Saccharomyces cerevisiae S288C: one gene and its partners. Changing the gene in region 4 together with the main gene of any one other region gives a genetic interaction. Each region holds a gene or a part of one and is shown on either strand. Other genes may lie near its edges. The genes, in order: CLB2, SHE1, RAD52 and DBF2.

Region 1 (7,898 bases), on a different chromosome or scaffold from region 4:
TTGACTGAGGTACAATTAATAAAACACAACCCAACTTCTGATGTTGCTACGCTGTATTCTTTAGTTAACTGGGAATCTACAAAAACAGTGCTAAATAAGAGGCTAGATTTCCTTTTGAGTAGTAGACCCACAGCCGTTAATTTATCAAATTCTCTTGTAGAGATAAAGAACATACTGAAATCCTCAAGTGACCTAAAGGCTTTTGACGGTAGTTTATATAATTACGTCTGTGAATTGATAGATGAGGATTTGGCGAATAACATGAAAATGGGTGATAATGGAGCTAAGTATTTGATTGACGTGTTACAAAAGGACGGTTTCAAGGACGAATTTGCCGTTCTGACGATTTGTAATACTGGATCCTTAGCAACCTCTGGATATGGCACGGCTTTAGGTGTTATCCGTTCTTTGTGGAAGGATTCACTTGCTAAAACCGACAAGGCAGACTCGGGATTGGACAATGAAAAATGCCCGAGGATGGGCCATGTCTTCCCACTGGAAACTAGACCTTATAATCAAGGGTCAAGGCTAACAGCATACGAGCTAGTTTATGATAAGATTCCATCAACTTTAATTACTGATAGTTCCATCGCGTATAGAATTAGAACTAGTCCAATTCCAATCAAAGCAGCATTTGTTGGAGCTGATAGAATTGTTCGTAATGGGGATACAGCAAATAAAATTGGTACTTTACAACTTGCTGTAATTTGTAAGCAGTTCGGAATTAAGTTTTTTGTAGTAGCTCCCAAAACAACTATCGATAATGTAACCGAAACTGGCGATGACATTATTGTGGAAGAACGTAACCCTGAGGAATTCAAGGTTGTTACTGGTACAGTAATTAATCCTGAAAATGGTTCCTTGATATTGAATGAGTCAGGAGAGCCAATCACTGGAAAGGTCGGTATTGCCCCTCTTGAAATCAATGTCTGGAATCCAGCCTTCGACATTACTCCACATGAGCTTATTGACGGAATTATCACAGAAGAAGGTGTATTTACCAAAAATTCCAGTGGTGAATTTCAACTGGAAAGCCTTTTCTAGATATCATTCTAATTAGACTCTCGAAATAATTACTTTTGTACTGTAAAGGATAAAATTTCATATTGAGATGTAAGAATTATTTTTTTTTTTCATTCAATAAAAGGAACACATTAATGTATATTGTCAGAACCTTGTAAGTCCAAAACACTATAACCAACTGATACAATATGTATTGTCTTTGTTTCTGCATATTTGTAAAACGTGCAAAAAAGTAAAGAACTCCTCATAGGGGGCTCGAACCCCTGACATTTCGGTATCCTTGCTTAAGCAAATGCGCTTAAAAGCCGAACGCTCTACCAACTGAGCTAACAAGGATGAGTTCTTCGGAGCGTGTTGTATCTCAAAATGAGATATGTCAGTATGACAATACGTCATCCTGAACGTTCATAAAACACATATGAAACAACCTTATAACAAAACGAACAACATGAGACAAAACCCGTCCTTCCCTAGCTGAACTACCCAAAAGTATAAATGCCTGAACAATTAGTTTAGATCCGAGATTCCGCGTTTCCACCACTTAGTATGATTCATATTTTATATAGTATATAAGATAAGTAACATTCCGTGAATTAATCTGATAAACTGTTTTAACAACTGGTTACTTCCCTAAGACTGTTTATATTAGGATTGTCAAGACACTCCGGTATTACTCGAGCCCGTAATACAACAGAGCGTCCTTAATAAATATTTCTATAAATATTTGATGTTTACCTTCCGAAAAAGGTACATTGCCAACCTTATTTGATAAATGTGTAAACTAAGATAAGTGTTGAGATCGGATTTTGATAAAGGCATTTGTTTGGGGTGTATGAGTTGGGAAAAGAAACAACAATCATCTCTTGACCAGTTTTCCTACTACTAGTGTGTTATCATATAGCGTAAGAGTATGACATAGAGATTGAGAAACAGAAACTGAATCATAACGAACATCACAGAATTTACATTTCTACACAATTTTCAGAAAAAGTGGAGTGGTGATATATGCTTATTGTTCTACAAGTTCTCTTCATGCGTTTTTGTTTATCTATCTTATTGAATTATTATCTTCATGCATTTATACTTATTAAATTCGATGAACATTTCATATTATTTTTATATGCTTCATAATTCATGTTACTACGATCTATACAGAGTATTATCGTAATGTCTTACCTTTAGCTTGTCACTTAACACATGCACTGCATTTCGAAAAGATGCTTAAGCAAGTTTATCATAATTTGGGAGTGTTCGGTGAATTTATACAGAAAGCCCCTCCAACGTCTTATTGATAATGTATATTTAGTTCATTTACCAAAATACTATCAATTCATCAACCTCCAAGTGGTTTTGACTAAACAGCCCACAATTGACATATGTGACTGCTAAGCAGACCTTTCTTGAAGTAAATTTCAGGGAAACTAAGCTACGGCCTTTCCAAAATATGGGCAGGAACTGCTTAATCCTTTCCTTTTATTAGATAAGCACTTTAGTATTTTTGTTTTTCATGGCCTTATCCTACGTTATTGTCGTGAAAGAAATGGCAGAAATTTCTGTTGTACATAAATTACTAACTGCCTTACCTTGAAAACGGTTTTATTACAAAAATAGGGGTCAAGTGTTTTGTTATCCCTGTTGTTGTTGTTTTATAAGTCCTAATCTCGCTTGAATATCGCCCATATTCACACCCTGTTCTTGACCGTCTACTAAGGTGCCTTAGGGGGACTCAAACTTAAGATCGCCTTCTACGCGTTTTATGCTATGATCATTAGTGTTGATGCATCGGAAGTTTAAAAATTAAGTGCGAGTGCATTAGCACAGTGGAATTATTAGAATGACCACTACTCCTTCTAATCAAACACGCGGAAATAGCCGCCAAAAGACAGATTTTATTCCAAATGCGGGTAACTATTTGTATAATATGTTTACATATTGAGCCCGTTTAGGAAAGTGCAAGTTCAAGGCACTAATCAAAAAAGGAGATTTGTAAATATAGCGACCGAATCAGGAAAAGGTCAACAACGAAGTTCGCGATATGGATGAACTTCGGTGCCTGTCCCTCGAGGAAATAGCAAACTCGTTACAGCTAGCATCTCATAGCATGGGCATAGAGTTTCAGAAATTTTGCTCTTAATGGAAAATATAACCTCTTTGGGGAAAAGAGAAATAGATCCTTTCTCAAAAATTTAGAAAGGAAAAAAAATCAAAATATAATAAAATAGATTTTTTTTAGGTTAATTTTTTGCCAATTTAGCTAGACTTTTGAAAAGATCCAAAAATTTACTAAAATTGAATCTTTCTGGTATTAATTTTGTCCTATACCTCAAGAAGTAAAGTATTCTCGAATTGATACTTCTGAAAAGCGAAAGAAATATAGCTAAAGGATACTGGTTATTTATTCTTTCTTTTTTTCTTTCTTTTTGATTGAGCCAGTGTATAATAAAAACCTACTGCGAGCTATTCAATAAATTGACATAGAATATCTGTTGAAGCGGTTCTTTGATTGAGCATCTGTTTTCCTTTTGTATTTTTGTCCTTTTAGATTCTTTTAACGACATTGGAGAAATTTTAATCATTGTATAAAAACTTCATTCGCTCGTTTGTCAGAAGTTTTTTTATAACTTGCTATTTCCTTCCAAGAAGCCTTTTATTGATTACCCCCTCTCTCTCTTCATTGATCTTATAGATGTCCAACCCAATAGAAAACACAGAAAACTCACAGAATACTAGTTCATCAAGGTTTTTGAGGAATGTACAAAGGTTGGCCTTAAACAATGTAACAAATACGACATTTCAAAAGAGTAATGCGAATAATCCAGCCCTAACAAATTTCAAATCTACACTAAACTCAGTAAAGAAGGAGGGAAGTCGGATTCCTCAATTTACTAGAGAAAGCGTATCAAGATCAACAGCCGCACAAGAGGAGAAAAGAACCCTGAAAGAAAATGGTATCCAACTCCCCAAAAACAATCTTTTAGATGATAAAGAAAACCAAGACCCAAGTAGTCAGCAATTTGGTGCGCTAACTTCTATAAAGGAGGGGAGAGCTGAGCTGCCTGCAAATATAAGTTTACAAGAATCCTCCTCAGCGAAGGAGATAATCCAGCATGATCCCCTAAAAGGCGTTGGATCAAGCACTGAGGTAGTCCATAACTCGGTAGAAAACGAAAAACTTCATCCAGCTAGAAGTCAACTTCAAGTTAGAAATACCGAAAGTGAAACTGATAGTGGAAAAAAAAGACCAATTTCTACAATTGTTGAACAAGAACTGCCCAAAAAGTTTAAAGTGTGCGATGAAAATGGCAAAGAAGAATATGAATGGGAAGACCTAGATGCAGAAGATGTAAATGATCCATTCATGGTCAGCGAGTACGTCAATGATATATTCGAATATCTCCACCAACTAGAGGTCATTACTCTTCCAAAGAAGGAAGATCTCTATCAGCATAGAAATATTCATCAAAATCGAGATATCCTAGTTAATTGGTTGGTTAAAATCCATAATAAATTCGGCTTATTACCGGAGACTTTGTATCTTGCCATTAACATAATGGACAGGTTTTTAGGTAAAGAGCTAGTTCAACTGGATAAGTTACAATTGGTTGGCACATCATGCCTTTTCATTGCCTCTAAATATGAAGAGGTCTATTCTCCTAGTATAAAACATTTCGCATCAGAGACAGACGGTGCATGTACGGAAGATGAAATCAAAGAAGGGGAGAAATTCATTTTAAAGACATTGAAATTTAACCTAAATTATCCCAATCCGATGAATTTTCTGAGAAGAATTTCGAAAGCAGATGACTACGATATACAGTCTCGAACTCTTGCCAAATTCTTATTAGAGATATCATTGGTAGATTTCAGATTTATTGGGATACTACCCTCATTGTGTGCAGCAGCTGCGATGTTTATGTCGAGAAAAATGTTAGGTAAAGGTAAATGGGATGGAAATCTAATACACTATAGCGGCGGGTATACTAAAGAAGAACTTGCGCCCGTGTGTCACATGATAATGGATTATCTAGTGAGTCCAATTGTTCATGATGAATTTCATAGAAAATATCAATCTAGAAGATTTATGAAAGCTTCTATAATTTCCGTCCAATGGGCTTTAAAGGTTAGAAAAAACGGCTATGATATAATGACCTTGCATGAATGAGAAGAGGGGCAGATGCTTAAAATATCTAAAACGATAATCGATAAATGTCCATATAAAATGTATGGCTGCTTTTTAATCATTTCTTTTCACATTTCCATTTATTCTTACAAATTTCACACCCAATTTTAGCGCCTTTCATTCTGTTATTTTTAAACTGACGATAAAAAATCATTCGAAGCCTAAGATTTCCAAAATAAAACTCCATTTTTATTCTCACTAATAACACCACACCATTAATTTTAATTTTTTAATTTTAATTTCAGATTTGTACCATAAGTTTTATTCTATTTCAGTTCAACCGTTTCCGGATGCATGTAGCGAGGGTAGACAAAGAAAAGCATCAGTATCGGATGTTGATATTATGGGAAATATCATAACCTTAGTCTCTTAAAAAATGCTGCTTTCTTCTCATTTTTCATTTCTTTTAAAATTATTTCAGTATAGTTATTATAATTAACATTGGAATAACATTAATAATAATAATTTTTTAATAGTAATAATGATAATAATAATAATAAAAATAAAAGAATAAATTTAAAAACAAAAAAAATTCTAATATTAATGATGATAATAGTAGTAATACTGGTGGTATTATATATGTTGAAGTGAACACGCATATCACTATAAACTATATATACATATATATAGATAGATAGATAGATGCAAAAAATTTTTTCCTTTTAGTTCAGCAAAAAGAAAAGAAAATGTAAAGAGTATGCGAATTCATGAGCATTACTAGTACTAATCTACTTAAGATTAAATAGATTTTGAAAGTTGCTATGCATTTCGGATGTACACCACTTGAAAGTTTGGAAATAAACAGAGCCATACCTTGGTTTCTTGTACTTCAAAATCAATGAATCTAAATGAGTTTTGGAACTAGCGATGTCTTTGACTAGATCAATGCAGAGAGACTGAAACGCTTCATCGTGTATTGGATCGATACCACCACTGTAATGCTGTAGTGTTCCATTCCATAGCTCGTTCTTGTTTCTGTTGGTCATTCTTCTCGCTATATACATTGCCATTGCGCTTACGGTAGATGGAGGTAAATGAATGAATTGGTGGCAGCAGTAGGCATACTCTAAAATAAACTTACCAATATTTCTATTAACCGGATCGTAATCATCTGCCTTGGAGATCCTCCTTAGGAAATTGAGTGGGTTGGGCCAACCAATGTTGAATTCTAAGGAAGTGAGCATGAACATTTCCGCATTTTTTATGTCGTTTTTAGAAGCCGCGCCGTCAGTGATATAAGCGTATTCAGCTAGTTTGGGCAAATTTACCTCTTCAAATTTTGCCGCGATGAAAAGTGAGGTAACTGCCAATAATTGTAACTTGTTCATCGTAACTTTATTTTTAGCTAAAAATCTATCCATTAAGTTTATGGATAGGAATAACGTTTCCGGATAGCATTGAAATTTTTCGTGCACCTCTACCAGCCAATCCACTAATATTGTTCTCATGGAAGGCCTCAAATAATACTTGGACGTTTTGTCGAGTAAATAGTTGTGCGATGGTAACGTTTCTAATTCTCTTCTATATAAAAATGCAAAAATTTCAGCAGAATATTCTGCTACCATTGCAGTATCATCTTTTTCAACATAATCTAGGTCCTGCCAGCCTACTATTTCACTCACTCCTTCAGCGTCTATTCTGCGTTTTTTGTTCACTATCGAAGCAGCATCATCATCTTCTCCTTCTTCTTCTTCTTCTTCTTCTTGCTCTGCTGCCGTTCGATCGTTATATATCTGTCTTTTTTGAACGGCGCTAACAATAGGTCTAATGTTTTCTTCTCTTCGTACTTTGGCCGCCTTGCTCCCTGCTACTATTCTCTTGTTCTGGCTTAAAGGATTATTGTTCACTGGTACATCTGTTAAAGCCCTTCTTGGTTTAGAATCCTGAACCTGCTGCTTACTAGAGCTGTCATTTTTTGAAAGGGCCCTTTTATTTTGAAGAATCTTTAGGTTTGAATTGCACAACTGCCTCTCATTTTCATTATAAATCATAGAATTTCTTTTAATACTCTGCTCATGGTCGTGGTTCTCTCCCATTGTTCAGTAAAGGTGTTCAGCGGCTTTAAATACAGGGAAAAGCGCGTTACTGCTAATTATTAAGCTTATTTTGCTTTGTGTGAGACAACTAATTGGCCGTGAAAAGCTTTAGGTGATTGAGTCTCTTGAAGTACAAAGACAAAAAGACTTCAATAGATAGACAGAAAAAAAACTTTTCTTGAGAAGCTTAAGAATTAGTTCCAAGTAGCTTCTAATAAACCGATGAACGCAAATGAAGTTCCCTTCGCGGTAGATGGCAGTAGCTATCGGCAGTCACTAGGAAAAGTGAGTTTAGCACAGATATGCTGTGGGCGCTATCCCAATGTGGGCAAAGCGCGTGAACATCACGACGCGCCTTCCCGTTAAATTTTGTACCATCAAGGGCGCGTCTTCACTCGAGATGCGCGTTCTTTTGCTGGTTCTTTTCACTGAGGGCACAGAATATGATACCCACAGTATGACAAGTTTTAATCGAGATAGTTTGACGTTCGTTTTTTACTTTGAATATACTCGTAGTCTTTTTACTTTTTGAGTATAAAAAAAAAATGACTAGCAAAATAAAATTAGTAGTCTAAAAAAGAAAGCTCGCACTCAGGATCGAACTAAGGACCAACAGATTTGCAATCTGCTGCGCTACCACTGCGCCATACGAGCTTTTG
Region 2 (7,479 bases), on a different chromosome or scaffold from region 4:
AACTCAATCAACTGCACCTCCTTTATTACAGTGACAAATTCCTCTGGATTATCTTTGGGAATGTTGCCGGATATAATGTTGTCTAATTCAATTATATTTGATTGCCTTAGCTTCCAATTTTGTTCTGTTTCCTTTACACTTTGGAACGGTGCCAACAAATTCTCCAAGTCTTGTTGTAATTGGTTCAAAGACTCATAGTTTTTTTTCATCGCTGGGTCTTTACTGCTCAAGTTGTTTGATAACTGCGGCAATTTCGCTTCGGCTAATAGTAATTGAAACTCGTACTCTTCGTCAAACAAGGTCGATTTATCTTCTTGTGAACCATGCTGGTCCTGTGACTTTGCTAAACTTATGAATTTTTGCTTGAATTTCTCAACTTCTAAATCGTTAATAAATCCATCTATCAGATCCTGTGAATTTTCGTCATCCATTTTCAAATACTTGTACATTATATCGAAAATAAGCTCTATTATTACATTATTGTTATCATCGTTTGCGTGTTCATTTAGGTTGTTATTTAAAAGGTTGGTGAAAGACAGCATGAAAAACCTCAGTAGTTGCAAATGATTTGAATTATTTTTCTCGTTGATCTGGATCAACTCATCGATGGTCAATAATGTAGATTTTATCCTATTCAGGTAATCTCCGTTTTGGTTTTCACTTGGTCTTCGCAAGAAATTTGCTAGAATAGCTTGGATCTTCGATGGATTAACCAAATAAATGGCTTCAATGGCTTTAATGGAAGCCAGCCAAAATTTCTTCTCATTAGGCAACTCGAAAATTAAGTGGTTTAGTAATTGCTCAACTAGAGTGTCATTGAATTGTACTGGAGACTGCATGGCCACACGTTTGATAAGGTAACAAAGCGAGGAATGTGATAGGAAGATTAACCGCGGGTACGAACGGTAAGCGTAATGGCCGGAGATGAACAGTAACGCAGCGAAATAAGCTTGGATCGACGATTCGTTAACTAGTTCCTTTTTTACATGTCCTTTGAACCGTGTAAGCAGTGCCATTTTTTCCTCGATGGGTACAGACTCGTCCTTGAATACGGTATACAAAGGGAAGGAATCGTCTGGATGTGTATTAGTGTTGCTGTTATTATTGGTCTCATTGTTGAAGGACGACATTATTTCTGAAGAATACAAGGTCTCTCCAAAAACCCTAATAATTACCGCTAAATATGCCTGTCAATCGGATGAAGGGAAGTTTCAACCTCAAATGTAAATAAATAGATGTTTAGCGTTTTAGAATAAATAAGTAAATAATTTGATTTTCTATAAAGATGTTAATGCGCCAATACGCGCCGACGGGGTAACGCATTAAAATAACATGGTATTTTCGTTTCATTACAAAAAAAGCACTATATGTACTAATAATTATGCTACACTTGTGTTTATATTGCCAGCGTCGATGTTGATGACAACGCAGAGTTCATACGGTTTTGGTTTTGGGCTTCACTTGTCTCAGTAGGTTGAGGGTTTGTATGAAGTTTCAGAGGCTCCGTTAGTAAATGACCCATTCTTTCTATCTTGGTCCTGAGATAACCTTCTATCTCCTTGGAGTCTATGCCTTCACTGGAGTTTGTCCAGTGTATGGGTACCATAGGCACTCGTTCAACGCACTTAAGGTAAGGCGCATGATCTACCTGTTTTATCTTTTCCGGGTTATTTGTCAGCAGCCTGACATTACCGATGCCAAGATCCAGCAAAATAGCCTTACCCAGCGAGAAGTCCCTAGCATCCACGGGATGTTTCAGCATTAAGTTGGCCTGCACTGTGTCAGCACCTAAGTCTTGCAGGTTGTAGGCCTTGAGTTTCTCACCTAACCCGATGCCACGACCCTCTTGTCTTAGATACACGATAACACCATGGCCGTTTCCACCTTTGATGTTGCTTGTGGGTTCGTGGTCGCAAGCGATAAGCCTACCGGCCCTATCGAATTGTTCACCACAATCACAACGGGCGCTCCATGCGTTTTCACCGGTGTAACATTCAGAATGGATCCGTACCAGCGTGTCGTTATGGGCGTCCCATGTAGTGGCTTTGGAAGCTAATAACTCACCTGTACTATCATCAAACTCCAGAGCTAATCCGAGTCTATCGTCTTCGTCTGCCACAGTTCTGCCGGGATACAGTTTGCCAATATAAGCGCCCCTGATCATTCTATCTTGTTGCGTCTCGCACTGTCTTCTACGGAATAGCGAGCGCGACCGTATGTCTTCACCAAACACAATGGCTAGATGTTCCTTGTTGTCCCTGTTGTTACTGTAAAGATGTAAAAAGATATCCGGACCCTGTGTGGTTGGGATACGAGCTCTTGCGACACATTGTACTAGAGGCAAGCCGCCATCGCCGTTCCTGCCATCACCCGTACCACTAACCTCGTATTTGCTGCTATCCTGTTTACTGTTGTCGTAGTTATCTATGGTCATCCTGTAGGTTTGTTGTAGTTTTATGTACGCCACTTTTTGTAATGACTCAATTATTGTCCACGCCAGCACAGCAACTTCTTTATATATACTATAGCGGCGCTGGCGCTCACCCCACAAGAGCGTCCGACTAATTTCTGACAAATCGTAAAAAGAAAAAGAAAAACTCAAAGGAAAAAGAAAAAGTCTCACCCTACACAACTTGTTTTCAAAAACGGTATAGACCCTACTATTTCTGTTTTAGCCCTATGCTAAGTCTAGACATTACCCTATCCCTTTTAACGAAAGCCCTTTTGTTTTTTTTCTGTGTGTCCGGCCGCTCAGCCAAACAACAAACAAGACTATAATCTGGAGCATAAGTACCCGAGCATATATAACTACTTGGCATACGAAGTAAAAGCATATTGCTCCCCACTCCTATCGCGCGTCCCCTGTACAACAAAGCATCAACTTATCGGGTAACTTAGAGACAGCATTAGTATATATACCAGCCATGTCACAGTTCTTCGAAGCTGCTACTCCCGTTGCAATTCCCACAAACAATACCAACGGCGGCTCCAGTGATGCCGGCAGCGCCGCCACTGGCGGCGCCCCCGTTGTTGGCACCACCGCTCAACCCACCATCAATCACAGGCTTTTGCTGTCATTGAAAGAGGCTGCCAAGATCATTGGCACTAAGGGCTCCACCATCTCACGCATAAGAGCTGCAAACGCCGTCAAGATCGGTATTTCTGAAAAGGTGCCCGGTTGCTCTGACAGGATCCTGTCCTGTGCTGGGAACGTAATCAATGTGGCCAATGCCATTGGTGATATTGTTGACGTGCTTAACAAACGGAATCCCGAAAATGAGGACGCAGCTGAGGGCGAAGCGGAAGAGCACTACTACTTCCACTTTTTGAACCATATTTTACCAGCTCCCTCAAAGGACGAGATCAGAGATCTGCAGCAACTGGAGGACATCGGTTATGTGAGGCTCATTGTGGCCAATTCCCATATCTCATCGATTATCGGGAAAGCAGGCGCCACCATCAAGTCCCTGATCAATAAGCACGGCGTTAAGATCGTGGCTTCCAAGGACTTCTTACCTGCTAGCGACGAGAGAATTATCGAGATCCAGGGTTTCCCAGGATCCATCACCAATGTACTTATCGAAATTAGCGAGATCATCTTGAGTGACGTTGACGTCAGATTCAGCACAGAAAGATCTTATTTCCCTCATCTGAAAAAGTCCTCCGGTGAGCCAACTTCCCCTTCTACCTCATCTAACACTAGGATCGAATTGAAGATTCCAGAACTGTATGTAGGCGCCATTATTGGCCGTGGAATGAACAGAATTAAGAATTTGAAAACTTTCACAAAAACCAATATTGTCGTGGAAAGGAAGGATGACGATGATAAAGACGAAAATTTTAGAAAATTCATAATCACAAGTAAATTTCCTAAGAATGTCAAACTTGCTGAGTCCATGCTTTTGAAGAACCTGAATACTGAAATTGAGAAACGTGAAAACTACAAGAGAAAATTGGAAGCTGCCGAAGGAGATGCCACTGTTGTTACTGAACGCTCTGATTCTGCTTCTTTCTTGGAAGAGAAGGAAGAACCTCAAGAGAATCATGATAACAAAGAGGAGCAGTCGTAGTATATACGTGTGCGTGCGCACGTCCCACACAGACAAAACAAACTATCATCTTAACGAATAATGTTGCATCATTACTAGTTTAAACTGTATTTTTATTAAAGGGAAAAAAATGATTCAATATGTATATATTTATTCATGTATATGTATTTTGAATTAAAAAAAAACGTTTTATAAATACTCAATAAAGCCGTTGTATTTTCTTTATTACTATCGAAATTCTTGCTTTAAACATTTCGCGCATCGCCGGCTAGAGGCACAGAGAGGGAAGGGGAAAATAACATGAAAAAATCGTAAGTTTCTAGGCAATGGTATAAACAAATAAACAATAAACATGCAATTACAGCTCTAGAACACATATTATCTTCATGGATGAATGATAAACTCCAAGAAGAGCATAACGAAAAAGACACCACTTCACAAATTAATGGTTTCACGCCGCCGCATATGAGTATAGACTTTCATTCAAATAACAATAGCAATATCATCGAGACTATTGGCGTTTCCAAAAGATTAGGAAATTCTGTATTAAGTGAACTGGATTCTAGAGCTAGCTCAAAATTTGAATTTTTAAAAGATCAATCCGAACAACAATACAACGGCGACAAGAACAATGAACCAAAATCGGGCTCGTATAATATTAATGAGTTCTTCCAAGCAAAGCACGACTCTCAATTTGGCCAGATGGAGTCGCTAGACACACATTATACCCTTTTACATACGCCCAAGAGAAAGTCACAACATGCAATCCCACAGGATCGATCGGATTCGATGAAAAGGTCGAGACCGTCCCGCTCAATTCCATACACTACACCAGTGGTAAACGATATCACAAGAAGAATACGAAGATTGAAATTACGGAACTCATTGGTTAATGGTAATGACATAGTGGCTAGAGCGAGATCTATGCAAGCAAATTCTAACATTAATTCAATAAAGAACACACCATTGTCAAAGCCCAAGCCATTTATGCACAAACCAAACTTTCTAATGCCCACTACGAATTCTTTGAACAAGATCAATTCCGCTCACCGTAATACATCCTCCTCTTCGACAGCTTCATCGATACCAAGATCTAAAGTACACAGATCGATATCAATAAGAGATTTACACGCCAAAACCAAACCGGTAGAACGCACGCCAGTTGCGCAAGGAACAAATTCGCAATTGAAGAATTCAGTTTCCGTTTTTGATAGACTTTACAAGCAAACAACGTTCTCTAGGTCGACGTCTATGAACAACTTATCGTCAGGAACCTCTGCAAAATCCAAGGAACACACAAATGTAAAGACTCGGTTGGTTAAAAGTAAGACAAGTGGTTCATTGTCCAGTAACCTTAAGCAAAGTACTGCCACCGGCACAAAGAGTGATAGACCTATTTGGCGGTGATTAAGTAATAAAAAAATTGCATTTTATAAGAAACATCATGTGATGACATTTAAAAAGTGGGAAAGAATACTACTAATATAAAACTATTTACTGGATATTTAGAATTTTTTTTTTTTCTTCTTTATACGTAAAAGTTGTTCAAAAAATTTCATCGTTTTCTTTTTTTATGAATCTTTGATTCTTGTTGAAAAGAATTTCTAAAAAAATAGGAGGATAATAATATTATCAAAACAAATCGTGTCACTCATTAAACACCAAAAATCCAAAGAAGAAAAAAAGGAAAATGTGAGAAAGAATTTAGATTAAGAATCAAGCCAGATTAGACTTATTTGAACTTCTTACCAAACAAGATCATTTGCAGTTGGTCGTACATTGAGATAACACCAGCACCTGCGACACCTCTTAAGATGTTAGCACCACAACCCTTGAATAGAGAACCAACACCTTCAGCAGCAACAATCTTCCTCAAACAGTCAAAGGCACCGTCGTACTTAACAGCTTGACCGGAGGTCATCATCATTCTTCTTCTAACGGTATCCAATGGGTAAGAACATGTAGAAGCACCAGTAGTAACAACCCAACCCAACAAGAATGAAGCCAAGAATGAACCTTCCAAAGAACCAGTCAACAATAGAGGCTTCAAAGAATCGTACATACCGAAGTATAGACCTCTGTAGACAACAATACCAACGACAGAAGGTAAGAAACCTCTGTAAAGACCAGCAACACCATCAGATTTTAAGGTCTTCTTGTAGACATCGATCAAACCGTTGAATTGACGAGCACCACCCTTTTTAGAGGACTTGGAGTCAGCAGCCAATCTAGTTCTTGCATAATCCAAAGAGTAAACAAATAGTAATGACAAGGCACCAGCAGCACCACCAGATGCCAAGTTACCGGCAAACCATTTGGCGTAACCTTCTTCCTTCTTGAAACCAAACATGGCCTTGATCTTGTCCTTGAAGGCGAAATTCAAAGCTTGAGTGGGGAAATAACGGATAACGTTAGCAGTGTTACCTCTCCAGAATGAGATAACACCTTCCTGTGTAGCGGTTCTCTTGAAACAGTCTAAGATACCTGCGTATTTTCTGTCCAAAGTACCTTGTTTTAACATTTCATCTTGGTTTTGGATCAAAAGTTTAACTCTTTCGATGGGAGATGCAGCAGTTTTGGCGACAGCGGCACTGACACCACCCATTAAGAAATCAATCAAAAAGTTAGATTCCTTCTTTGGAGCTGGGGCTGGAGGTAATGGGGTTTTGACTTGGGCGTTGGAAGACATGGCTATTTGCTTATATGTATGTTAATGTATGATTCTGAAGTATAAAAGAGCACACAAAAAAGAACAACGACAAATATAAATAATATAGAGGGGCTCCTTTGACTTGTAGATGTATTGCAATGTTCCGTATAACTAACAGTGAATATATACTTTTTTGAGTGGGTTGTCGTGAAAAATTAATATTAAAAACTCAAATGGTATTTATATTGTGCGACGACGTGGGCCCGATCGACGGAGACATGTCCCCGATAATCGCACCTCACCCTCTGAGAGTGGGGCCTTCTCATTGGCCCGCGCTCTACACCAATCAGCATAGCGCATTTACCGCCTTTCGCTTGTTCTCCATTGGAAACAGTGCTCGTGCATCGTGATGTTATTTGTTACGTATGGAAAAATCGTGTCTATACTTCTGTATAATATATGTATGGTTATAGTGAACACATATATATAAATACATATATAAGAGGAAGAAAAGGAAATTATTTCGTTATCAGTTGGGCTGCTTTTGTCGTAAGTTTTGTTGTTCTTGAATGACTTTATTAAGCTGTTCGTCATTCTTAAAATCTTGTCGCCAATTGCATATGGGGCAGTGCAACTGTTTTCCCCAGAAGACCGGAACCAACGGTATAAACCAAATAGTGAAAAATTCCTTTCTTTTTATGGGGCCGACACTATAATTGTGACAATTCGGGCAATACAGGTTTTGATGTCCGGGAACGGTATCGTATGAAGAGTCGAAAC
Region 3 (7,786 bases), on a different chromosome or scaffold from region 4:
TATTTATCTTACATGAAATGGGAGGAGGGGTGCTCCTCGGTTGAATTGTATTACGTAGCATTAGGGTTGCCTGAGGCGTACACTTCTAGAAACCAGTTCGCCAACTTGGCCACGTCTGCATCCAAATATACGTCGTTCAGAGCAACATTGTATTCAAGTACAATCTCCATAAAAGCACTGGTGGACAGCTGATAAAGAACACTGATCATGTCAGTAGTGTCTTTCATGCTATCTTCGTCTTCACTGTCTTGTTGTACTCTATCTTGGGCTGTCCTTTGTGTTTGGAAGGCAGTGTATGCCATCGATTCCGGATCCCAATCGGCAAATTCACCCAGTGCACAGATGGACCTCTCCAAAGTCTTAAGAATATCCCCAACGGATGCAATGATACCGCCTTTTGGATCTTCTGTCTTTGATCGGATCAGCAGTCCTGTCAGTGCTACCACACTATTTGCGTGGCATATGGGCAATGGAACCAGCTTCTCAGCTTGCCTTTTCTTGGAAATGGACCATATGTCAATTATCGAGATTTGGGCTTTGTTGGAGCCATTTGGTAATAGTCTGTAATTGTCGCTTTCATCAGATGATTGTCTTTCTGCGTAGGAAGGGAAAATAAACGACATTATAGAATTTTTCAGTTTTTTTAACATCAGACGCATAGCGGTCATAAATGTTGTTTCGTGGGTGAAAATAGAGCCGTTAAAAGTTTGTGTCGTTTCATCTAAATCGTTGTCGTAATACGAGGACCTATGCCTTTTCTTGTTTCCGCGGTTAAGCAATACACTATCGTCAGTTCTTACCCTCAGCCTGTTTGGTGATTCATCTAATAAGCCGTTATCCCGTAATGGCGCCATCATAGAGGGTCGGTTCCCAAAGAGTCTTTCGTTGGCGCTTGTTAGTTTCCCGTTCTCATACATATAATCTAGATTTTCTACTTTTTTTTTATGTCTAGCAGTTGCAGAGCCCCCAAGATCTTGTACTGATCTTAGGTACTGCACAACCTTTTCATTGTTTATCTGAATGGTCTTCAAGCATTCATTGAGGATTAATGACCAAGTATTACCACTACTGCTTCTGAACTTGGAGTGATATATTGGTGCTCGCAATGATGGATCCAGTGAAGTGGCCCTATACGCTAGTTCCTGGTAGGCAGTCAACCTAGTAAATGGCTTGTCTGCAGAAAGCCCACTAAGCAGGGTTTCCATCGGCGTCGACGACAAATTCGAAATTAGCTTGCCCTTGTGCAGACAACCTATGGACATATGTGCGTCAAATGCTATATTTATGAATTCGAAAGTGATGAAGATAATGCAGGAGATTATTAGTAAATTTGTGACAGCTAGCACGCCATTCGTAAATGAATCAAATAATCCCGATTTTTGCCTGGAAAAAAATACTGTGGTAAAGATTGGTAATACGAACATGCTGATTACACTTAGAATGACTGACTTCTCCATAATCCTCTTGACACGCTCTAATACGTAGTCTTGTGGGGCCTGGAAAAAGTTTTCGCAGTTGAACGACAATTTGTCAGCGTCAGTGACATGATGTTGTAGGTTGTAAATCGTGGGAACGACTAGCCAAATAAACAGCTTATAGTATGGCTTCCATCCAGATCCGCCACGTCCGAAAACCACACCCAGTACGAATGATAAAAGGATGCTGCCCATGCTATAGACTCCCTGGTATACAAGAAACTTTACTGATAACAATTGGCCTAGAATGAAAGTAAGTGAATTAGCGAACCCAAAATTCTTTACATGCATGTAATTTTTTCTTGTCACAATGATCAAAAGGGAAACTAGGTTAAGAGCTAAAATATTGGGAATAAATGCCAATGCCAGTTCCCATAACGGTGAGTGTGGCAACGCCAGCAGTGAAATCACCACAGTTTGGATAATAGAACATATGAAAAACAACCTCGTAACTAAATGGTTGAATCGGGTCTTGCACACGTCGCTAAAGATGGTATGGTACGTGTACCGTGGATTCAACAACTCCCTTGGCGTCTGTATCATCTGCTTGCCCTGTAATGTCCTTTCGTCTTCTCAATCACACTTACTCATCGCCAAAGAGTCTGCTCTTCCCGTTAGTGATTCTCGATGTTATTATATTCTTTAGTCTGTTAAGAAAAGACGAAAAATATAGCGGCGGGCGGGTTACGCGACCGGTATCGAATGGCGTTTTTAAGCTATTTTGCCACTGAGAATCAACAAATGCAAACAAGGAGGTTGCCAAGAACTGCTGAAGGTTCTGGTGGCTTTGGTGTGTTGTTGATGAATGAAATTATGGATATGGATGAGAAGAAGCCCGTTTTCGGTAACCATTCCGAGGACATACAGACCAAATTGGACAAGAAATTAGGACCTGAGTATATCTCCAAGAGAGTTGGGTTTGGAACAAGCAGGATTGCATACATCGAAGGTTGGAGAGTAATTAATCTTGCTAATCAAATCTTTGGATATAATGGCTGGTCTACGGAGGTAAAAAGTGTAGTTATCGATTTTTTGGATGAGCGACAGGGAAAGTTTAGCATAGGGTGTACTGCAATTGTTCGTGTTACGTTGACTAGCGGGACTTATAGGGAAGATATTGGGTATGGTACCGTGGAGAACGAAAGACGGAAACCTGCCGCTTTCGAAAGGGCCAAGAAATCTGCCGTTACGGATGCCTTGAAAAGATCTTTGAGAGGGTTTGGTAATGCTCTAGGAAATTGTCTTTACGATAAAGATTTTCTGGCAAAGATCGATAAGGTGAAGTTCGATCCGCCAGATTTTGACGAAAACAATTTGTTTAGGCCAACGGATGAAATCAGCGAAAGCTCAAGAACGAATACTTTGCATGAAAATCAAGAACAACAACAATACCCGAATAAAAGAAGGCAATTGACTAAAGTTACAAATACCAATCCCGACTCGACGAAGAACCTGGTGAAAATAGAAAATACAGTAAGTCGAGGTACCCCAATGATGGCCGCACCTGCTGAGGCTAACAGTAAAAACAGCAGTAATAAAGATACTGATCTCAAATCTCTCGATGCTTCCAAACAGGATCAAGATGACCTTCTCGATGATTCTCTTATGTTTAGCGATGATTTTCAAGACGACGACTTGATAAATATGGGCAACACAAACAGTAATGTTTTAACGACAGAGAAGGATCCCGTTGTAGCTAAGCAAAGCCCAACTGCTAGCTCAAACCCAGAGGCAGAACAAATCACCTTTGTTACAGCTAAGGCTGCAACTTCCGTACAAAATGAACGTTATATTGGTGAAGAGAGCATTTTTGATCCCAAATACCAGGCACAATCCATTAGGCACACCGTTGATCAGACTACGTCCAAGCATATTCCAGCGAGTGTGCTAAAAGACAAAACGATGACCACCGCGAGGGATTCTGTCTATGAAAAATTTGCACCAAAGGGAAAACAATTGAGCATGAAGAACAATGATAAAGAACTGGGGCCTCATATGCTAGAAGGGGCTGGGAATCAAGTACCGCGTGAAACCACACCAATTAAAACGAACGCTACAGCTTTTCCGCCTGCAGCTGCTCCACGGTTTGCGCCGCCTTCTAAGGTAGTACATCCTAATGGAAATGGTGCAGTGCCAGCCGTTCCGCAACAAAGATCGACACGAAGAGAAGTTGGAAGACCAAAGATCAATCCCCTGCATGCACGCAAGCCTACTTGAAACGCTTCCTGGCCGAAACAAATAAAAAATTTGCATCATTATTTATTACTCCAAAATCCTCTAGTTACTCTTTCAATTCTGATTTTATTTGTATTTCTTCCTATATCGTCTAGTTTTTCTTTCCTCCATGTGTCGTATTAATATTTACTTTAAATCGAATAAAAAATTCTTATTATTTTACAAGTCATTTTCAGGATTAGATTCATTATAACTTTACAAAAGTATTACATAAAGAATTATATAACAGATATTAGGATAACCGTATAAATAGAATAAACTATACAAATATGGCAACTCGGAAAAACAATAGATCATTAAGTTTGAGAAGAGAAAACTACGTTTGAGTTTCATTTTGTGGGTTATATTTTGTTTTCAGCGGAATCCTTAGGTTCATTGAGTTCCATCGGACCTATCCATTCCCAACATTTCATTATTTCACCTCGAATTTCAGTTAAGTTCGATTTAATATTACTGTTATTATGCTCTAAATATTTTACCACTTCTGACCATAATTGATTTTTGTATTTCAGATCGACAATATCAGAAAGAAAGATGTCACGCAATTGAACTATGCTCAAATACGCGTTTTCTTTCGGATCGGACATTGATTTAATCTTTTGGAATTTCAATTTTTCCATGGTTTGAGTAACGAGTTCTTCAATTCTTGCCTTCTTTCTATAATAATTCTTCAGCTTGATCTCGATTACTTTACTAATGACTATCAGTAAAAACATTAGCCATATTGGCCTTTGAAATTTTTTATACGTTTGGTAGATTTCTCTTTCAAATCGACACTTCATTCCAATGTATTTCTTGGACGTCGACCGAAAATTCCTCGTCTTGGAGATGAATTTTTCTGGAAGATGTCTCTTCTGTCTCGGAACGTCATTGGTTTTAATGATGTTGTTGGAATTTCCGCCAATGTTGTTGTCAGTGGGTGATAACTAGAGAAAATTAGGAAAAGATGTTAGTAAATAAATCAAAAACAAAAAAAAATTCAAAAAAAATTAAAACTGTTATCATATAATAACAGGTTTAATAATTTTTGTAAGATAATAAATTGTACTCACTTGCCTCCATAATATTTCTGGTTCTTCAGTTAAATCTTTGATAACTTGGATCCACAGGTCCTCAAATTCATCGTCGCGAATCCAAGGAGCTCTAGCCTCATTAAATATTTGATAGAGGGCATCTTCCGTCATACCACTCTCGATGTCGTCTTTTCCGTCACCGCATGAAATTTGTGCATTTTTGGCTCTCAGAAACTCTAAAGATTTTTCAACCACTTCGGAAACTAACTGCTGTTTTTTGTCGTCTTTAACACATTTGCCTTGTGCAGGAATAATTTCCAAAAAGTCAAGTCTAGATGGTGCTAACTTGTAATCTGGCTTACATTTAAGTTTCAAATAAGGATAACAAATACCATTGGGTGGACAAGGGATACATTTCGGTCTGTAGTCCTGCAACAAATTATCCAGTTTTTGAATAAACTCGAAGGAATTGCCACTAACTCGATGGGATGGTACTTCATGCCCACAGTAACCTATGAGCAGTCTTTGCTCTCTATACCAGAGGCCAAATAAGAGAGGAATAACAATGAATATGCAAAATAAAAATAGCGCCAGTAATGATTTGCTCAAAAATTTGAGTGCTCTTTTGAACTTATGCCTGTTCCCGACCTTCCCAGATCCTTGCTTAACATCAAATTCACTCCCATTTTCATGCTCTAATTGCTCATTTACTTCCTCTTGAAGTTCTTGCACTCTTGCTTCACACTTTTCGACGTCTTTCTCTGTGGGTAATTGGGGAGTCTCGATCCTTGTAGGCACTAAAACTTCATCTTCATCCGATACCAAGTTACTACTATCTGTATCTATCATTTCGACCACATTATTGCTGGTATTACCCATAGGCTGATGAGGACCTGGCGTGGTGATCTCTGGAAGCAAGGGTGCTTCCGACTCTGAGCCAGAGCCTTCGGACGAAAACAAAGACGGTGTTCTTTCACTCTGAGAAGGTTCTTGCTGTTCCACTTCTGGAACCAGTATTGTAGATGGTACCTCCTTTTGAGGCAATTTATCCGCAAATGAGGCAGAAACTTTTAACTTACTCAAGGGTGTGCTATGGCCTGTTCCATTGGCAGTTCCGAGCTCTTTTGGATTGTGTCGTATGTTCGGTACAAATGGATCATTTTCCGTACCGCTTGAAGTCAACGAATCGTTAAAATTATCCATGCTTACTGGCTTTCTATTTGTGTTCTTTATTGGTGTTTTGACGGAAAGTTTTCCTAAAATGGCAGAGCCATTTCCATGCTCTTGGTTCAAATCACTCGTCTTACGCTTTTTTGCCTTCTGGTAATCCTGTTCAATTTCTGAATCTGATGATAGGAGGTTCAAATGCTTATTATCGATTTTATTTTCCTTTGAATTAGATTCAGACCAGTCGTCAGAATCAGGGTCTTTCCTTTTCTTACGAGTATCGGAATTTTGCTGGAAATCATTGGTGTCTGATTTGTTGGAGCTTGATGTTATCACATCATCCTCTTCATCGTCCACTTCATCGGTATCCGTTCCACTAGGTACAATTAAAGGATCGTCTTTTTTATCATTGTCATCATCATCATCATCATCATCATCATCATCATTACTTACATCATCCAGTATTCTATTCTTCTTAAACTGTTTGGCCATGGGGGAAGCAGATTTCTCCCTGCGAGCTCGTCTACTTCTACGAGGGGAAGCTATAGATGGGGAAGATGAGGGACGGTCCATTTTCACAATACCTTCATCGCTGGGCCGAACGTTCAGATACATTTTCCGTAACTGCGGGATCTGCGGTTTAACCTTTTCATCGAACAGCCCCACCAGCGCATTTTTCCTAGCATTAGATGGGAAATCGACATTATTTTCTACCAATATCCTCCTCAAAGTCGCAACTTTCATTGAATTCGGATCAAAACCGTCCTCTAAATACTCCAAGTCACTATTCATCGCGGCACTAACTGAGTACTGCTACCGTTCTACTGTTTGTTGTTCTGGCCTCTACGTTCACTCCGTATGGTCTCAGTCTACTATTAATAATGACTGAGGACTATTTCTCTTCCATGTATTCCGCATAGTATATTGACAGCTATACAAGTAGATCGATGTCCAGATTAGCCACCACAAATTGAAACCAAAACAAAAACAAAGGGGGCTTCCTAAAACAGTAATTTTGAGGGCTCTTTAAAACCCTTGATTTCCGTTCAGGGTGATCAATATATATATCCTAGTTATTTTATAGATGCCCTAACTTTATTTTTAGGGCACGTGGGGGTCTTCTCTTTTCTTTTTTCATTCCTTTTTCATCTTTTTTTTGCGCCTGGCGATGATGAGAAAGGAGTTCTAGTAGCACAAGGTTTAAAGGATATTATCAAAAAATAGATAAATTTTAAAAAAAAAAAAAAGGCATCTCTTGACGACTTTTCTTCTCTCTCTCTACAGGCAGAATTAGCAGCGTTTCTCGTATACTAGTCAATTATCGGATATTAATAGTATTTTTATTATAGTCTCCCTGCTATAGCCAATTTTGATTCAGCAAAACTCGATTGAACTGCTAGTACGCCAGATTAATAAATTATATAACAAATAAAAAGGGGGCATTCTAAAAAAAATTATGGACAATCAGGCTACACAGAGGCTTAACGACCTTTCTCTAGAACCAGCTCCTTCACACGATGAACAAGATGGTTCAGGACTAGTCATTGACATAGATCAAAGAAAGATTGGTGATGAACAAGCTGGTGTCGTAGTGGATGATGAGACACCCCCCTTAGAGCAGCAAGATTCACACGAAAGTTTAGCTGCTGATTCTCGGAATGCTAATTTCTCGTATCACGAGAATCAGCAGTTGTTGGAAAATGGCACCAAACAGTTGGCCCTAGATGAGCATGATTCTCACTCTGCCATCTTGGAGCAACCATCGCATTCTACCAATTGTAGCTCTTCCAACATAGCAGCGATGAATAAGGGCCATGACTCGGCAGACCATGCATCTCAAAATTCCGGGGGTAAACCGAGGACCTTGTCTGCTAGTGCTCAGCATATCTTGCCAGA
Region 4 (7,931 bases):
AAACACCAGTCTTGATCCACCAGTCATACCAAGAACTTTCAACGTTAGCAGGGTTATAAGCTTTTAAAGCCGGATCATCCAAGGATACTAAGATTTTTTTCTCACCTGGAACAGTTTTGTCAATAAATTCAGGGATTGGCTCAACTTCCTTCTTTTTCTTAGGTTTCTTTTGAGATGCACCTGTGGTGGCAGCAGCATTTTTTTTAGCTTGTTTGGCAGCGAACTTTAACAGTTTTTCAGCCTTTTTCTTCTCTTTTTCAATTTCCTTAGGAGTCTTTGGAGAGCCATCTTCCTTTAACGGATTAATGATGACCTCACCAGTCTTTGGGTCAACTGGAGGCAAATTATCAAGATCGCTCATTTTAAAGAACCTGACTTGATTATGAGTTAACGACTTCTTCAGAGAAAAGTTTTGACAAAGTGGTAATGATCGCCTATAATGACAGTTCAAAAGCCGAAAAGTGAATGTCTTAGATAATGTGTTTAACCACTTATTCATACCATCTAAGTAATTCCATAAATCTGAAGGACATACAACAACGATGACAGCCAGTGGTAGCACACACAGAGAACACCAGTAGGCTGTATGGGTGACTCTTCTAAAAAAATTTTTTCAGCGCGGTCTCTCGAAGAACTTTACCCGGTTTTTCTTTTAATTCATCACCTCTGAGTTGCTAGGTCTCTTAAACGTTCAGAGGTAGCATGACTTAGTATTCTACATATATATACATATATTTGGATATATTTGAAATTCTAAATGAAATAGTTTTAGTTTAGTTTTCTGTGAGAGAAATGTCATAGGTCCTGTAGGCCTTTTGAAACTTTTCAGCCTCTATAGTCTCTTGTTGCTTAGTTTGTAAACAGGTTGAAGAATTCCATTTCACCCTGCGTGGCAAGTTAAGTAAAAAGGCTAGTACACGTCGTCCAAACTGCAGATCTATTGTCTCACTGGCATTAAATGTGGCCAAATATATCTTTGGGTCCGCTTCAGGAGTCTCGTAGACGGTAAATTGTAAATAATTATTGGATTGGTTGTTAATTACATCCACATATTGTTTGGAAGAGTGTGAATCGTAACATTGGAACTCTAGCTTAGCATTTCTTGTGAATTTTTCGTTATTGAAATGAACCTGTCTATCTAAGGCACTGCAGAACTTTAGAACGAGGTATTTTGGAACGGGAATAACTTGTTTGTGGAAATGAATAGAACGTTCAGACTGTATTTCGAAGACAATCGTGCACATATCAAATTTTATGTAGTTCATCTTCACAAGACTAGCTTCATAAGCCAAAATACTCTGTGTCAACTCTGCGTTCTTGCTTGGATCTAATTTCGGAATATGTTCAATGGGAATAATGAGGCAATGGCCTGAGATATCCATATCACCCTTAGGAACACTTAAAGGTCCCTTCGCTGTGGTTAAATACACTAGTTTGCCGATTGATATTATCATATGATCCTCGAGGTTTGGATTTGAAAAGCAGAAATGACAACTTGACGGCAAAATCGTTCGAATTTTTTTATTTTCATTCTTTTCTCTATTAGCAAGTACCTGTTTGTCTCCATCGAACGAATTCTCTGTTTCTGTTTCTAGTGGCCTTTTATTGCTGTTTGTAACCACGCTATTATACGGGTTAGCTATCAAGTTGGGCGGTTCAGGTTCATCCTTTAGTTCGTTGTCCCCTATTGGCATATTGAATGCATAGGCCCATTTCTTTCCAGATCCATATTTTGGAATATTGAGGAACCTCGATAAGCGCTCTCTTTCCCACTGGAAAGGCTCTAATTCGTAAAAGTTTATTTCATCTGAAAAGGCAAAATGGTACCTTGCTTGTAACTTTTTCGCCAATTCATCAACAACTTCACTTCCAGACAACCTTCCACATCTCTCAGAGATCGAAAGGCCCCATTCTTTTGTAAGGAGAATGTCTACCTGATCCTCACTTTTGCCAAATTCGTCCAGTATGCTTTTTTTCTCCCCTTGAAGAGTATCATCCGGATAAATAAAATATGAAAGAGTGATTCCATTTGCTAATTTATAAGTACCCATATTATGCAGCAATGTTACATTTTCATTTATCTTTTTGGATTTCGAATTGTTAGCCTTATCACACGATAGTAGTATTAGTTGAGGTAACCCATCAGTATTCAGCTCAAAATTTTCATCATACGAGTTACTGAATATAATTATTAGATCAAAGGGCCCTGATTTTTCATTCACTTTCTTGATCTTTCTGATAGCCTCATCGGCATCGCTTTCACTTATATGAGCTACTAAAATCTTTGCATTTGTCATCCTATTTTTATATGTAAGTTTTTGAAGTGAAAAAGATATCAGTAAACCATAAGCCCTTTTTTATATATTATGGATCCTTCTAAGAGAGCTACCTTGCGTTTTTTGTACATCTAGCAATGTAGTATCAGTCCAATTTGTAATTATCATTGAAAAAACAATTGATGTTAACACCCATTCCTTTTCATTTTTTGCAGATTTTCGATTAATAGTGGTCATTGCTGTTTTCCTGTAAAACATTACCAAGTTTCGCCGCTCCCAACATGAATGCTTAAGTTTAGTTCAAAACGGTCATGGGATGGACCGTTACCGTGAACTGAGATTTTAAACAATGGGCTTGAAGTCCTAAGTAATGCACAACTATATATATATATATGTATATTTATGAAAAAAGCGTTCATAGGTGCTAGTTGAAAAGTTTGCATGAAGCTCGTTAAAGCTAATTATATCGCGGCGAATGCAAGACAAGAATTCATTTTTACGCTAGTAAAAGGTTGAAAAGGGGTCTGAGTGTTCCAGTCCGTTGAATAAGATGCCACTGGAACCCTGTTTACCATTTCTATGTCGGAAAGTGAACCCAACAAGTTTTGATGATACTGCCGAGTCATCTACCATAGCCGTTAATTTGTCTTGTCTTTTGAAAACATCAGCATATTTGGCCATGTCAGCCTCACTGGTGAAGTCATCAAAATAACCGGCATCAGTTTCGCTGTCTAGTTGGGGTGTAAAAGGCGGGATCATTGACCTCAAAGTACTAAAGTTTATATCTGCAAAATAAGACATGCGTTTAACATGTTCGAAGGATCTTAATCGATTGATTGGATCGGCAATCAATCTTGTTATTAAATCCCAAGTTCTATCGGAGAATGCTGCCCTCCCATCAGATTGTCTCGGTCTTCTTAAAGTTTGTTTCCAGCGCCTTAAGTTGTCATAGGTCTCATTAGTCGATGATCCACTAAATGGTGTATAACCAACTAAACTTTCGAACAGCATACAACCCAACGACCAGTAATCCACAGTAAAGTCATATTTCTTTCCTTCTAAAACCTCCAAAGCCATATAATCCGGAGACCCAACCATGGAGTTCGCATAATTAATTTCCTTCTCCCTCAACTGGTTGTACATTTTTCTTCTATCTTCTATAGATTTCTCTGTAAACGCTGGAAATTCCAGGTCCTTGATTTTTTCTAACCTTATCTTCATACTTTCAATTCTTTCATTAGAAATCGTACCAGCAGCCAAACCAAAATCTGTTAATTTTATATGTCCCTTGGCATCGATTAAGAAGTTTTCCGGCTTTAAATCTCTATGTGTATAGCCTAAATCATGTAACGCATTAACAGCGCAAAACATTTCACTGATGTAAAATCTCGCATGGCCACTTTTCAAGCATCTAGTATTTATTAATAATGTACGAAAATCACCGCCTGGTACAAATTCCATAGCCAGGTATAAACTTTGTAGGTCTTGGAATGCATACAGAAGTTTTACTAACCATTCAGACCTTGTCGTGGTTAGGATATCTCTTTCAGTTAAAACGTGTTTTGTCTCGTTGAGCTTAAACAATAGTTTTTTGTTCAAAATTTTCAAAGCACACACCTCTTTTGTGTCTTTCTTTCTGGCTAAATAAACTTGCCCATAACCACCTTGACCTACTTGTGTGATCATTTCAAAATCCCTATTTTTTGGTTTCAACCTTCTTTTTCTCAAAACCTGATGTTCCCTTTGTAAGTAAGAGGACCACTCTTCGTTGAGTTTAATCTGGTCAGAATTCGGAAGTTGGCTTTGCTGTTGCAGGTATTCTAGAACTTGCTTCGTGCGTTGTCTTCTACTAATTACATAGTCAAACATATCACAGTAATGTTCTAGAAAGTACATTTTGCAAACACTAACAACTCTCTGTGTTTTATTTGAAGTTGCTCTTTCGTAAAACTTTGGTGGAAGCTTCTTGGGAGAGTTCGAGACATCCATATCAGGTTGAGATACTTCGTCTATGTCCATGTTGGAAGTATCTTCGTAAGGAAAAAAGGATGGTTTTACCGGCGAAGGTGAATCATTGATACCCGCAGGCCTTGTCCTCCTCTTTGTTATATTTTGGTTAGGAAATAGTCCAGTGCCCCCAGGAGTCCCATGCCCATCGAAACTCAAATTGCTCATATTGCCTGCCAAGAGGTCGACATTTTTTTCTGATTTTGATAGCATATTAAAGAATTTTTCTTTAGCAAGGAATACTGTAGATGTTGCTTGAATTTTTCTGGTATATTAGTTTCTATCTTTAGCAAGGTTTCTATCTTACAATAATTTACTTGGACGAATTGCCTCCTTGTATTTATTTTTAAATAAACAACAAGCGGAGGGCTTCAACATCAAGGTAGCTTCGAATGATTTAGATTGAGGAATGAAACATGTCATTGTTTACTTTTTGAATAATTACATTTCCTAAAAAGGGCATCTGGGTTGCAGCGTGTGGTGTTTGGCTTTTTACGAAATTTATGAGCGAAAACGCTCTCGCCGGTCACTACTATATAATATCTTTTTAAATATTATCAAGTATGTAGAAGAGCCCTAACCATGACCGGAAAACCAATTGGTCTCTTCTTCTGGGTTAGTATGCTGTTTCTTGTGCATTTGAACCATCTCTGGCGACAGATTCGGTTGCTCTGTATTATGACCCAAGGAGATTAGGAATTCGTCAGCTTGCTGATTAGCCTCAGAAATCCTGTGCTTCATTACCTTTGTTAGCTTGGCTTGATTACCAGCAGATCTTCTGGAACCTGATGTAGCTCCTACTGCTTGTTGTAAAGAAGTATTAGACATACCCAAACCAACTTCTTCACCATAGGAATCAAGAACAGTTTGTTCTTGCTTGCCAAATTCCATCCTATTTTGTAATTGTCTGACATGCGATAGTCTGAATTTTTCCTTGTACTTCCTAAATTTTCTCCCAGCTCTTTTCTTTTTGGGTTGGTCCTCCGGAATAGGTAGAGCCTTCGTTTCAGAAATGCTCGGGGCTTCTGATAGCTTTCTAGCTTTCTTCGATAGTTCGGCTTTCCATTTATGAGCTAAAACTGTATTTCTATCACCGTTTTTCTGGCCAGCATCAACTCTTGCGGCTAGTGATACTTTTGCACAAAGCATCCTAAGCATTTGTTTATGGACAGAAACGGGAAATTTCTGAATCATGTCAGAAGCAAATAGATATCCTTCTTGTCGTACTCCACTCTCTAATGTATGTAACTCATGTGAGAGGTGCTTATTCTTCCCAATGGACGCAATGTTGCAACTGGGAATGCGACTGAACTCCAAAACCCCTCCAGCATGTGCTATTAATTGGGCTGCTATCTCCGGGCCTACCAAGAAACACACGTTAGGGGCAATTATTGATATCTTTGAGGCTATGTATTGACCTATATCTTCTTGTAGTTTCCATAAATTTTCCAATATGCTATTTGCTTCTAAAATTTGCGTCCTCGTTTTGATGTCCAATGGCTCTTTGTTTTTGAAAGACGTCTTCATGGACATTGTTAAAACGAGGATCTGCTCTCTGGTCAATTTTGCTTTATTTTCCAAGTGGAAAAATAGTTCATCACTTTCGTTTTTTGAATAATTTTCATTTTCCAGTATGCTTATCACTTTTGAGTATTGTAATGGTGATGGTATCAATGAAGATAGTTCTGGAAAACGTCTACTGTACAGTGAGATTAGAAAATTGTGCATTAATTTTATATTGCTCTTGATGAGGGGGATGATTTCGTTAAAAAACGGTAACAGTTTAATGAAATCTATTTCTTGTTGTTGAAGGATTCTTTTTAAATCGACAATTTTTGGTAAAATCTGTGCTGTCTCTGATAGAGATAACCTATCAGGACTGATGAGTGCCAACGTCCTGAATAATTCTATACTTTCCGGAAGAATTTCGAATGGATTGAATTTTTCTGTTTGACAATTTACCGTAGTGAGCTTTTTAGTTTGTATGTCTTCTTTTTCCTCATTAACTTCATCGGCAAGGTCATATTCGAGCTCATCGAAATAGTCCTCTTCAGAGCTCATAAGGTCTTTGTATATTTTCTGCAGCCAAAATGCTATCAAATAGTGCTAGTTGAGGCGTTCAAATCGTTTACCTAGCTTTATTCTGAGCGTCGCCACAGCAGTACTATTCAAAACTTTTAAAAATACTAAGTTAACTTGTGCCAAATCGCCGAAAGGACCACATCTAAAAAAAAGAATTAAAGAAAAATATTCTTTATGTAAACTGCCGGCTGCTTTAATTATTTAATATTATACAGATACTTCTAAAAGTTATGATTTTGTTGTTTATTCTAATCTGTCTCAAAATTTATAACCATGTCATTCCCGAATGCAGCAATCTCATGAAATATGGCTTCTTTATTTAAAATCACATTCTCATCATCCACTGGTTTAACGTTGCAATCCAAGTTTACTCTAAATTTGTGGGCTCCCTTGAAGAGTGGCTTTATTAGCCCTGTGATGACATTTTTATCTCCTTTCTCTCCACCATTCACACCTATATACTTGCGGCTTGATAAAATCAAACTATTCTTGTACTTCAAGTTCAAATACTTCACTAACTGGTATGTTGGATCCATTTTTTCACTTAAATCATTCAAATTCTCTGGAAAGTTCGATGGGGCTTGATCGTTAGTTATATTCTTGAACTCTGTGGCTGAAAGTATACCACAGGATGATTTCAAACCTATTGGTGTCCTCAAATCAACGACAAAATCGTAATCTTTTAATCCAGGCGTGAATAAAAGATTGATAGTTTGCTGGTTTAAACCGTGTGTCTGTAAAAGATTCACGGCTACTTTAGCTAATGCTGTAAGCCTTGTAGCAATGGGTAGTGGGATACCTGATGAATAAAGAATACCGCTTGGATCGTTCTTAGAGGCAACAAAAAATTGCAAATGTGTACCGTTGGGATCACTGTTCCTCAAGTTCGTGAAGTTCATTTGAATGCCCTTATATTGTGCTAGGGTTAATCTTTCAGAAAGCTTTTTCATCGTTTTGGAGTCTAGCTCTGAGCCAGCTCCAATACTTGTTTCAAATGTATCTCTTATATCATCTTCTGGTTTTACTAGATCTAAAATCAATGGATCATCTTTCCAGTTCCATTGACTTATAAACTTAAGCACTTTGAGGAAACCGTTTTCAAGAGAACCTGGAATGAAATATGGTGCAGGATCAACAAAAGGTTTAATGGCAATCAACTCTGCTAATTCGTCCGTTATATGACCTAGTAATAAATGAGTGTCCAACCATCTTTTGAATAGTCTTACCACAGGGGAGTAGAATTGATACGAATGAGATATATTCTCCAAAGTACGAGTATGTCTTACGGAAGCCAGATATTTTGCAGTAAATTTTAGGAATGTGGCCTCCAATTCTGGTTTCAACTCATTCCTAGCATTCGCTATAGCTCTTAAATAAAGGATTTCGTCACGTTCAGTTAGAACTCTGAATTTGAATCCATAACCTTCAGGTGTCAAGATGTTCAAGGTTACAATTTCTAAATTGTATGGGATGGATTCATCTCTGCTGAAAAACGACCTATAAGTTGAAGAGTTAGCGCTTAATTCTTCTTGAATTTTGAGAAGAAAAGCTGTTTTAGCCTTTTCT

The links.
Region 1: mutations in DBF2 (region 4) and CLB2 together harm fitness more than expected from each alone (negative genetic interaction), as found in Saccharomyces cerevisiae (5 studies listed by BioGRID, with this or other methods).
Region 2: mutations in DBF2 (region 4) and SHE1 together harm fitness more than expected from each alone (negative genetic interaction), as found in Saccharomyces cerevisiae (2 studies listed by BioGRID).
Region 3: mutations in DBF2 (region 4) and RAD52 impair growth when combined (synthetic growth defect), as found in Saccharomyces cerevisiae (2 studies listed by BioGRID, with this or other methods).

What each region holds. Positions count from the first base shown.
Region 1 is NC_001148.4:767,944-775,841, forward strand, and holds CLB2 (B-type cyclin CLB2), read left to right. Parts: upstream 1-3,709; coding exon 3,710-5,185; downstream 5,186-7,898. Other genes in the region: S-methyl-5-thioribose-1-phosphate isomerase MRI1, read left to right, coding at 1-1,044; B-type cyclin CLB5, read right to left, coding at 5,932-7,239. UniProt on the Saccharomyces cerevisiae protein: Essential for the control of the cell cycle at the G2/M (mitosis) transition. Interacts with the CDC2 protein kinase to form MPF. G2/M cyclins accumulate steadily during G2 and are abruptly destroyed at mitosis.
Region 2 is NC_001134.8:157,260-164,738, forward strand, and holds SHE1 (She1p), read left to right. Parts: upstream 1-4,439; coding exon 4,440-5,456; downstream 5,457-7,479. Other genes in the region: STU1 (Stu1p), read right to left, coding at 1-1,130; RIB1 (GTP cyclohydrolase II), read right to left, coding at 1,397-2,434; HEK2 (Hek2p), read left to right, coding at 2,925-4,070; ADP/ATP carrier protein PET9, read right to left, coding at 5,782-6,738; YBL029C-A (uncharacterized protein), read right to left, coding at 7,229-7,479.
Region 3 is NC_001145.3:208,421-216,206, reverse strand, and holds RAD52 (recombinase RAD52), read left to right. Parts: upstream 1-2,276; coding exon 2,277-3,692; downstream 3,693-7,786. Other genes in the region: NDC1 (Ndc1p), read right to left, coding at 51-2,018; SRC1 (Src1p), read right to left, coding at 4,052-4,636, 4,763-6,682; AMD1 (AMP deaminase), read left to right, coding at 7,347-7,786. UniProt on the Saccharomyces cerevisiae protein: Involved in DNA double-strand break (DSB) repair and recombination. Promotes the annealing of complementary single-stranded DNA and by stimulation of the RAD51 recombinase.
Region 4 is NC_001139.9:664,754-672,684, reverse strand, and holds DBF2 (serine/threonine-protein kinase DBF2), read right to left. Parts: upstream 4,497-7,931; coding exon 2,778-4,496; downstream 1-2,777. Other genes in the region: VAS1 (valine--tRNA ligase), read right to left, coding at 1-499; DRN1 (Drn1p), read right to left, coding at 774-2,297; U4/U6-U5 snRNP complex subunit PRP31, read right to left, coding at 4,860-6,344; rRNA-processing protein UTP22, read right to left, coding at 6,614-7,931. UniProt on the Saccharomyces cerevisiae protein: Ser/Thr-protein kinase involved in the mitotic exit network (MEN) and required after the metaphase to anaphase cell cycle transition. Phosphorylates CHS2 to regulate its dynamics and chitin synthesis at the division site during cytokinesis.